2 linked regions of the Caenorhabditis elegans genome follow. The protein of the gene in region 1 purifies or fractionates together with the protein of each later gene. This does not show direct contact. Each region holds a gene or a part of one and is shown on either strand. Other genes may lie near its edges.

The links. Proteins that work in one complex are often made in the same cells at the same time.
Region 2: the proteins of nep-5 (region 1) and T14B4.3 fractionate together in Caenorhabditis elegans (co-fractionation; one large-scale study listed by BioGRID). This does not show direct contact.

The regions. Positions count from the first base shown.
Region 1 is NC_003280.10:5,486,304-5,491,856, reverse strand, and holds nep-5 (NEPrilysin metallopeptidase family), read right to left. Parts: upstream 3,714-5,553; 5' UTR 3,707-3,713; coding exon 3,657-3,706; intron 3,610-3,656; coding exon 3,300-3,609; intron 3,256-3,299; coding exon 3,038-3,255; intron 2,988-3,037; coding exon 2,615-2,987; intron 2,566-2,614; coding exon 2,407-2,565; intron 2,362-2,406; coding exon 1,863-2,361; intron 1,818-1,862; coding exon 1,600-1,817; intron 1,555-1,599; coding exon 1,426-1,554; intron 1,380-1,425; coding exon 1,251-1,379; 3' UTR 1,219-1,250; downstream 1-1,218.
Region 2 is NC_003280.10:6,732,503-6,736,992, forward strand, and holds T14B4.3 (VWFA domain-containing protein), read left to right. Parts: upstream 1-2,434; 5' UTR 2,435-2,447; coding exon 2,448-2,484; intron 2,485-2,525; coding exon 2,526-2,657; intron 2,658-2,704; coding exon 2,705-3,327; intron 3,328-3,374; coding exon 3,375-3,473; 3' UTR 3,474-3,608; downstream 3,609-4,490. Other genes in the region: T14B4.9 (Core-2/I-Branching enzyme), read right to left, coding at 1-103, 188-330, 377-527, 574-680, 728-1,037, 1,096-1,281; mrps-18.C (28S ribosomal protein S18c, mitochondrial), read left to right, coding at 3,702-3,917, 3,969-4,061, 4,109-4,219; T14B4.1 (tRNA/rRNA methyltransferase SpoU type domain-containing protein), read left to right, coding at 4,405-4,490.

The DNA of each region.
Region 1 (5,553 bases):
ACACGTGGATCGTGGTAGAACGGAGTGATAACATCTGTTGAATCATAGCTTATTCCATTTCCATTTGGACCAGAAAAGTTAAGAGTGAGAAGATCAAACACGAGTTTTCCTATCAGAGAATTGCAGAGCCACTTGAAAATTGAGGGATTTGATTTGATTTCTTCAACCTGAAAGAATACCTCATTTCAGCGATTTAATCCAAAAATACAGTACTTTTGAAGCTCTAGCTGTCAAAATTGCAATAAGAATTGAGTCTGAGCCAGAACTGAATAATTCCACAACCAGGGCCCGGGTGTGAATTCTTGAAATGTTCGGGAAGTCCCATCAAAGTGACAACCCAATCCAACATAACTTTCTCCAATTCAGTGATTGAAGGACACGCCATCCACGAGAATCCAACTGAAGAAAGTCCACTGCTAAGAATATCAGCCATGATTGAATGATAAGCAAGTCCGGCTGGGAAATAGGCAAAAAAGTGTGGATGATTCCAGTGAGTTGCTGGATTAAAAACCACTTTCTCCAAATCGCCATAGATTTTCTCCCATTCTTCCGGCGCTTCTGGTGGTGTTGATGGAACCTTTAAAAAGTGAATAATTAAAAAAAAAGAGAATTTTAAAACTTACTAAAGCAGTCATAAATCCAGGTTTCACATTGGGAAGTGGTTTTCTTTTCCTTAGTCCATACCAATAATCAGCCACGATGTCAATCACTCGGGTTCCTTCTGTGCGTAGTTTTTGAGAATCCATTTTCTCAACGATTCCGATTTTTGTAATCGGTAAAAAAACGAAATAATTGAAAATCGATTTGTTGTGTTTTTTGTTTATTCAATGTTTCATATTAATTTTCGCATTTTTCAAAGTGTCACGTTTCATTAAATTGTTAGGAAGATGATTTTTGCTAATAAGAAAGTTTACTTATTTATTATTAATGAAACTTGATAATTGTTTTAACCGAGTGTAACATTGGTTAAAACGATCGAAATTTCTAGAACTAAGCCCACTTTTCTGTAACATTTTTTGAACTATTTGAAAAATCGCAATATTATGCAGTTTTCGTAAACTGCCAACCACAAAAAAAATGAAACTTCCTCGCTTCTTCCAATCGCCTTGGCGTTTATTTCCAGACCGGATGGGAAGACTAGTCGGAGAGTCTTTCCGAGTTTGAATGATGATCTGTTATAATGTTAACGACTCCTTTTTAAGCTGTTAGTCTATTATGTAATAAAAACACATTCATTGAAAACTAAGTACTCATGAAGCCAGTTTGCATTTCGTCGGAGGGTTCATCTTTGTTCCGTTGTTACATTTAAACGCCGAATTGAATTGTGGAACACTCGCTAGAGCTTCATTCACGTTATCCGGATCCGAGGTGCACATTGTCTGAAACGACTGTTTTATGTTAAAATTTACTAATTAGACCGCATACCTTCACCATGCTGTAGAAAAACAAAGCTTCATCTGATGATTGCTGGATTCCTGGGAGCGTGGCATATGGTTCTTTAGTTGAATCATAAGCATTCCATCCAATACTGACGCTGACGCCAAAGACGTTTTGCTGAATAATAACTTATTGGTCTTGAACTAATTTGTTTTTTCCTACCATCATCCCATCGAAGCATTGTACTATTATTTGGAAGTATCGTTCTGTTTCAGTATTCCACCAATTACGATGATTCCCGTCCGAATCGTAGAACCTGCCACGTTCATCGAAAATGTGTATCATTTGGGGAAGAATTTTGGACGCGATAGTTGCGAAATTTGTATAGTTTGGAAGGTTTGCAGACATGAAAGGATAATGGAGAAGAGCTCGTGAAATTGCTGAAAGAAATTTCTTTTTTTTTAGAATTTCAGAGAAAGACTTACTTATTTCATTTTTCTCAACTGAATAGAAAACTTCCGAATTCAAAAACACTGTCACATTGTTTTCTGCGACAGACTTAAACATATTTCTGGTTTGCCAAAGAAGAACATTTTGAAGAGTTGATATATAATTGGACTCCGGTGTTATCTTCCCAACAAGCTCATCAATCAAATCTTCTCCAGTAAATCCAAAAACTGTTTTCGTTTTATTAAACTTTTTCTGTGCTTCTTCGATTCCTCGACTGTCCATCCATTTCAATGTAGCTAACGATCTTTTCAGTTGATCTTTAATTGTGTGGAGCATTCCATTTAGAAGGTTCAATGCTTCCGGTTCTTCGGATCCATAGAGCACAATTTTTCCAGGAATGGTTGTTGACAGCTGATGAAGACAAGTATCTTCCAGATCAGATGCTACTTCTGTTCGAAGGAATTTGAACGAAAAGCGAAGAAAAAGAAAGTTGTATATAGTTTCAGAAGGTGTAGATGAGATGATCGCATTTATCTGAAAAAAAAAAGAGTTAGATATTTTTAGAAAATTATGTTTCACCTCTTCATAATAACTGGTATTGAAGCCATATACTTTTTCTTTCAGGTGAGCATAGCCATTCGGAATCCAGGAATCAATCAGTCTCTTCCAATCAATTATTGGCATCTGTCTTTGAATCTCAGTCAGATTAACGACTTCTGGGTCAGCTTTGAACTCGATCTGAGATAAATTTGTTACTATTATTCTACTTAAACGTTTCAACTTTTACCTTTTCCAATTTTGTCTGAAGCTTGATCACATCATTCAGCTGCCTTTGTCTATCGAATTCCAGATCTATCATTCCGTTTGTGGAGCTCTCCGGTGCATTTCGCTTCAAAATATCGTACATATTCCGAAACTTAAAGTTTGTGAGAACAGGTGAGAACGGTTTGACGACGAACAACGAGAATTCAGAGTCACTTGATGGTTTGATTCCTACAAATCCAGCATCATCGGGGTTGTGAAGTATGATATGAGCCAATATTTTTGTAAGGAATGGGTAACTGTATGTCGTGGATGAATTTGAAGTAGAAATAGGATCAGATGGTTTTGTCCATGAGTTGTTGAGAAGCGGGAATGGAAGACCAGGGAGGATGATTGAGCTGAAAAAATTTCTTGAGTCAGCAGAGGTTTTCTAAAGTCCACTGCCTACCTCAATCGTCCAACTTGATGAATCTCTTCAGTTTTTCCCATTGCACATTTGCTCAACATTCTCCTCACAACATTAACTGCCTTTCGATGATCAGGCTTTTCCTGAATATTGATCAATTTCATGAGTCTCTCAAAGTCTTTCTTTCTTGGATTGAAGCCATTGCACACGTGGTGATGAAAGTTTTCGCAAGGATTCACCGAAGAATCCATCAATTCAAGCTGAAAATATTTTGTAATGTGATTATATATTGTAAAACCATTACCAGTTCAGCTGAATACTTTACACATTCCTTTGTTTGACACGGTAGATCCAGCATAATTCTCAGTGCTTTCTGGGGTTTTGGTTCCCATTTAAACGCCGAAATATCATGGAGACCCAGCGCTCCGAGAGCAAAAATGAGAAGCACCAGGATGACCAGGGTCGTGATGACAGCTAGAACGGTGCATGGTTCTGGACGATTTTGCAGTTTTTGCAGTTCCTCGATTGGATCAGGAACTCCGATTTCAACATGTGACACATGATTTTTATTTTTGTTCTCCGGATCTTTAAAGAATAACATTGAAGATTGATCTCTGAAATTGGGAGATTATTAATATTAAATGAAGTAAAAATTACTCACTTCGACATTATGTTCTCTTTTGGTTTTTTGATAAAATCCACTGGATTCATAAAGAATATTTGAAGTAATAAAGTGTTTTTGTTGAAAAATATTCAATAACGTGGAATTTATTTTTAAAAAATAGAAGGCATTGCGTGGCTGAACTTTCCTGGCATAAGAACGTGATTACTTATTGGCTCGCTCTTTTGGAGCAAACCTTGTGTACAAACGTCGTGTTCAGAACTTTATTTGGCATAAAATTGAATGAGTTCGAAGCTAGACACTTGAAAAAAGATTTTTGGCTTTCAAACTCTTGCTCATAATCTTGCCCTCATTTTTATAGTATCAGAATATTTGACGAAGAGAATTATGGCAGAAGTTTGCGACATATCACGGGTTTTTTTTTTAACAGTGTATCTTGCAATCCTTATAACTCAAGAACAACTATATTAAACGAAGCCTACTTCGGCAAGAAAAAGTCTACAAACGATTTTTTTGTTTCAAGAATTTATAAGGCTGTTCTAACTACATACCTCATTAGCTAAACTGAGTAGTAGCCCTGAAAACAAAAGTTTATATACAATTATGGCCGGCCCTGTACTAATTATTAAGCCACAACGAGTGCAGATCATGTTTGAATACTTTTAACTTGTTTTGGCTCTAAACAGCTCGAATTTGACTCCTTTCTCCAAATTCATAGAATATGCAAAAGAAATGGAGTAGTGACATAAATAACACTTTGGAGACCAACTGGAAAGCAGGCAAATTTTGTGAATAGGAAGGTTTTCTTCTTGTTCATCTTCCGCTACCTACTACTTTATTTGTTTTTGGGCACATTTTTCAGTTGTAGACATTTATGCGATTTCAGAGATTTGCCATGTTCGCTATTCTTTAATCTTTCATCTTGAGTCAAGTAATTTATTTTTTCATTATTTAGGTTTTAGATGGGATTCTAGATTGAAAGGAGATTTTTGTTTTAGATTTTTTTTTATCTGAAAGAGTGATTCAACATATTCTGAATTTTTCTGAGTTTTCTAAACAAATAATTGTCAAAGTTTCCGAACTCCATAATTTTCGGCAACCACGACCTTTATTTGGAAGTTGGCAGCTTTAGTGTCGGTTTCCGAACAATGATTTCATAGGTCTTTTGAGCACTCGAAAGAGGCCATTCTTCGTTTCAGTTATAAAAAATTTGAAATGGAGTTAACTCAATTTTTATTCACCCCAACAAATCAAAAATTCCCAGAGCCATAGATTTTCATCTTGTCCTTTTTCATTTTCACATTTTCCTTCTCGAAACTTCTACCAATTAATCATATTTTTCGCTTTCCCAGTAGGTCATCTCCTTCAGACAAAAAAGTGATTCATCTTTCGAAATTTCTCCTGCCAGGACAATTAGGCTCAGCATATGTCTTTTCCCAAGAGATATTCACAAGTATAAAAAGTTTCATAACAATCTGAGAATTGAACTTTTGAATTTTTCTTTTAAAGGGCGATAACAAGTTCTAATATTTCTCCAACATCATCAACTCCCCGGGCAGCAATTTTCGCCATTTTTAGAACTATTTTCTTGTTTTTATTTTGTTTTTAAAGCCGTTTTAGAGACTTCTCTTATGAGTCTTTTCCAAAAAAAAGTTCAGATTTTTTTCGTGGAAACTTGACAGTGATGACGTCGTTAGCTTTAGTTTGCAAAACTAGACAAAAAATGGAAAAGAGGACTTCAACATAGTTCCATGGTTTTAGAATGTTTCTTAGTAGGCCATTTTGAACACGCCAACTCTTACGTACATTGTGTTTTGATTTTGAGTATTGTTTAAATTTTTTAAATTTTTTAAAGTCAAATTCGTTTTGATTTAAAAATCTGGAAAACTTCTAAAAACATATTTATTTGCCTTTATATGAACTTTTAAAAAAATGA
Region 2 (4,490 bases), 1.2 Mb from region 1:
TGTTTCCTGTTTCATTCAAGCATATATCAGAAAAATGTCCGGGCATACCAAGGAAATCATTGGCTTGAAATGTTGATATCCATTGTTCATCAACTCCGTACGCCTGAATAATTAGTTTGCAATTTCTCTATTTGAAAGATATTGAATTTATTTTAGAACCAACTCAAATAACATTATATTCTGTTACCCCTTCATTCCATTGATCTAGATACACTCTTGGATTTACTGTCTTCACCATCCATTCTACTGCTGCTCTCGACAATGATCCTTGCACTGATCCTTTGGAAACTCGTAACGTACTGTTCAAGTACGTAGAGTTGAGAGCAGACTCTGAAATATCTTAATTCAGGAGTGTAGAGACTCCTGTAAAACAAACCATCTCGAAATAATCTCAACGTTTTCAAATCCCACTTCAAACTTTCATCTATTCTCCCGAATTCCTTGTCAATATCAATATCGTTGGCACCATCAAGAATCTCAAATATTCTAGATATTTCATAAACTGATTTTCCAACGACGTCATGATTCTAAAAACATTGCATTTTTACAATTATTAATAAAAGTTTTCCCCACTTGCATCAGTATAAAATAATCCCAATCCGGTAATTTTACCATCTTCTCCATGCATTTGTAGTGTGCTAAATTCATATTATGACCCGCTGAATCTATTCGAAGTTCTTCTGAAACTCTAGTTAATTTAAATTATACATATATTCAATCAGTATACCATCTATTACAAATACATTTGGAAGACATCTACCAAGTCTCCTAATTCTCCATTTAAAATCATCTTTGCTTTTTGAATCAATGAAAAAGCAAAATATATTCTGTGGATGATATGACATTTGTACTTGTTTCTCCAAAAATTCATAGTCTTTATAGACAACTCGTGCAAATACAACACCAATTTTCAACGGCCTCAAATGAAAATTGAATGGAATAATTCGATTTTGAATTGAATAACATGACATATCTAAACTCTCCAAATTTGAGCTCAGGGGTATTCGATGCTCACCAATAAACTTTTCGATATAAGACTGAAATTTTATGTTTTTGGGTTATTTTTTAAACATTTAAATATTTAAAATTACTAACTCTATCATTTGCCAAAATTCTTCCACAATCCAAATGAGCTGTCTCTTTGCGTCTCCATAATATATTAGTTTCCTTTGAAGTCCAAAAACTCATTGTTATTCTAGGTGCCATTGAAAAGATCACAATTGTACAAACAAGCATTGTGAGTAATAAGAAGAAGAAGGTCCTGGAGTATTTGGAGCACATTTTGGAGAAAACGGAAAAGAATGGATGACAGATGGAAATGAAAAGAGAAAGAATGAAGAACCAGAGCAGACATTGGAAAGAATCCAAACATTTCATTCATTTCAAAACATTTACATCCACTTGGGTCTCACACTTTCTTTTTTTGATCTTCAAAAGTTGAGGGTTCTTGAGGGTTATAAATTAGTATTCAAATATTTATTTTTGTTTGTTAAAATTGTTTTTTTTTGTTGTTTGATCGAGAAAAGTACAGTCATATTTACAGATGGTAATTTGTTTAAATGGATACCTTCGCATTGCAGAAAACAAACTAAACAATTACCGTTTTTGAATTCTGGAAAAAATAAAAAATTGCTCTCATTTTCCTATTTGTGAAGGCATTATTCCTTGTTTAAAGTTACATTTTTCATAAATCTATTTGTAATATTTAGAATCGAGGAAATAGTTTTGAATCTTCTCATCTTTTATCTATCTATCAAATTGGTAGTTACCAGTAAATCGAATAGCCTTGAACTATAAAACTGGTAATTCTTAATAAGGAAACTAAAAGGTATTCATCCTTATATTTATCTAAGATTTTACTTCCCTCCGTTTAATTCAATTTTTTTCAAAAAGTCACCTTTTCAATAGCCGCATCAATTGTGCAATAGGTTCAACAGACAATATAGTTTGATTGGATAACAATTTGTACCGGAACAAACTGAGAAGATAACCCTATCATATTGGATTGACCCACCCTTTTTATCAACAAGCAAGTGAAGGAAATTTATTGCATGTTCGTTTTGAAGGAAAATATTCATTGCTACAAGTTATTTTTATCACAATCAGTGAATAAAATTAAAAAAAGATATGTATTAATTTTTTAAGCAAAAATATACTTCAAAATTCAATTTCATTATCATTTCTGCGCGCGGAACCAAAAAATTTGACAGTTTTCTTCAAAACCCAATAAATATCTGCCTTTAATATTTTTGTATACATAGATGAAAACTTTATCAATAAAAGTTTTGGCAAAAAAATACAGTAACCAATGCTGATGAAATCAACTTCCACGGAGTTTCAAGTTCTCTTGGTTTGTGGTGTCTCAACGAGAAAAGCAAACGCGCTCCATTGTTACAGAAAAATTGTGAGTTTTTTATTTCTCATTTTTGCTTCTTTTCAAGCCAAAAATGCGAAGTTTTATATGGATTTTATCATTTTTACAAGGTAATTTCTTATTTATTTTTTGCAAAAAACTTCAATTTCAGTTTGCCTTGCCGGGCGTCTTCAAATCATTTTGCCAAACGACCACATACTTGATTCGAGAAATTCGTCTTTCGATTCAGTTTCATTATTAAATTTCAACAAGAATGCTTTTGGACTTGGTGCTGCAGTTGGAGGTAGGTAACATTTTATTAATATAAAATGTTTTATTGCCTTATTTCAGCTCATCAGGCGATCGGCGATGAAAAATTGTTCCAAAAACCGAAGGCGTTGTTGATAATCGTTATTGACGGACTGGAAAACTTTGATTATGACGGACATGCTTTCAATTTTACGGATAAATTCCAGCCAAATCAAATTCAAGAACATTTCAAACAACAGTTTGGTGATGATATGATTCACGCCGAAGTAAACTCCTCTGGAATATTTGGATCATCGTTGTTTAAAAGAAATACTGAGGGAAACCATGCTAATTACGATACTTATAAGGAGGATCTTCAAAATATGTATCGACTTTCGGATGCAATCATGGAGAAAGATCGAAAAAATGCCAATGTTGTTGACTACTACCGTGTTCACCTTGACGTCTCCAATGCGCGAACAGATATGGAAAGAAAACAATTGGCAGAAAATATCAAGCGAGGTATTGATACATTACAAGATGCTATCAAGAACAGTTATGGCGGGAATGTGGTGGCTGAAATCTATACTCACGAGAAGCCTGATAGAGATGAGAAGGCTAGAATTAAGCTGTTACAAAAAGTATTGCAAGTGACTCAAGCTAGATATATCGATTATCCGGCAAGTGCGGCCATTATGATGTTTGTGGGATTCTCCCTTGTCTTCGTAAGTCCCATGTTAATTCATTCTTTCTAATAAAAAATTAACTTCAGGCGGCAGTTGCGATGTTGTGGTTGATGTTTGATGAAAGTGATATGGCCAAGAAAACGATCCTGGTTCGACTATCGATGGGTAGACAGAAGAAAGATTAGAATTAGATTTATAAATGATTGTAAAAACTGTATTTTCATAATTTATTTCGCTTTACGGCTTTACGGTTCTTTTTTTTGCATTTTTGACTAATCGCTTTCCGGTATTTGTTGCCATGTCATAAAGACTTCAGCTTTATGCATTTGAAACACTATCAGTGTATCAGGTTCTAAACCTTAAGATATCTCATTTTTAAATTTATCAATGCAATCCAACAGTATCAATTCAGAATGCTAAAATCGGCGTCATCGTTGGTGCGAAGTTTCATAAGGCCGCAGACATTCAGGTTATGTAGCTCCAGTTCAACCACGCAGGGATCTCCTTCGGTTAGCTCTGACGATGAGCCCGTAATTTTGGAGAATAATCCATACACAAAAGAGCCACGGAAGTGCCTCTTGTGCTCAACTGGTGTTGAACTCGATTACAAAAATTCGAGACTTTTGCAGGTACGAAATGTTTTAAACTGGAGCTCGGTAAAATCCAATTCTTTTTTTCAGCAATTTGTTTCCACATTCTCTGGGCGTGTATACGATCGTCACATCACTGGACTTTGCGACGAGAACAAGAAGAAGCTGATTGAAGCAATCGCGGTATGATGAACTGGAATAGAGTTAGATAAACGATATTCTTTATTCAGAAATCGCGTCGTGCCGGGTTCATGCCAATCTTCGTAAAGGATCCAAAGTACACCAGAGACCCGAAATTGTTCGACCCGCTCAAACCAATTCGACCACATTCGTTTGCTTAAAATATTTTGTTTTTTTAAAATTACTATTACTGTTTGTTTTTATTTTTAGAATATAAAATTTTCTCTAGACAATCTGTTTCTGTGAATAGTCATCAAGTTAGTGGATACTCCTGCCCACTTTAATACCGCTGGTGATACTAATTAGTAAAATTTTATTTTACTTAAAATTCAACTATTTTTAGATTATGGGCGATGCTGAGAGCGAAATTCAAATTCGCGCATATTGGAATCGACGAGCTGAAAATGTCGATGGAGATGAAAGTGTGGCTGA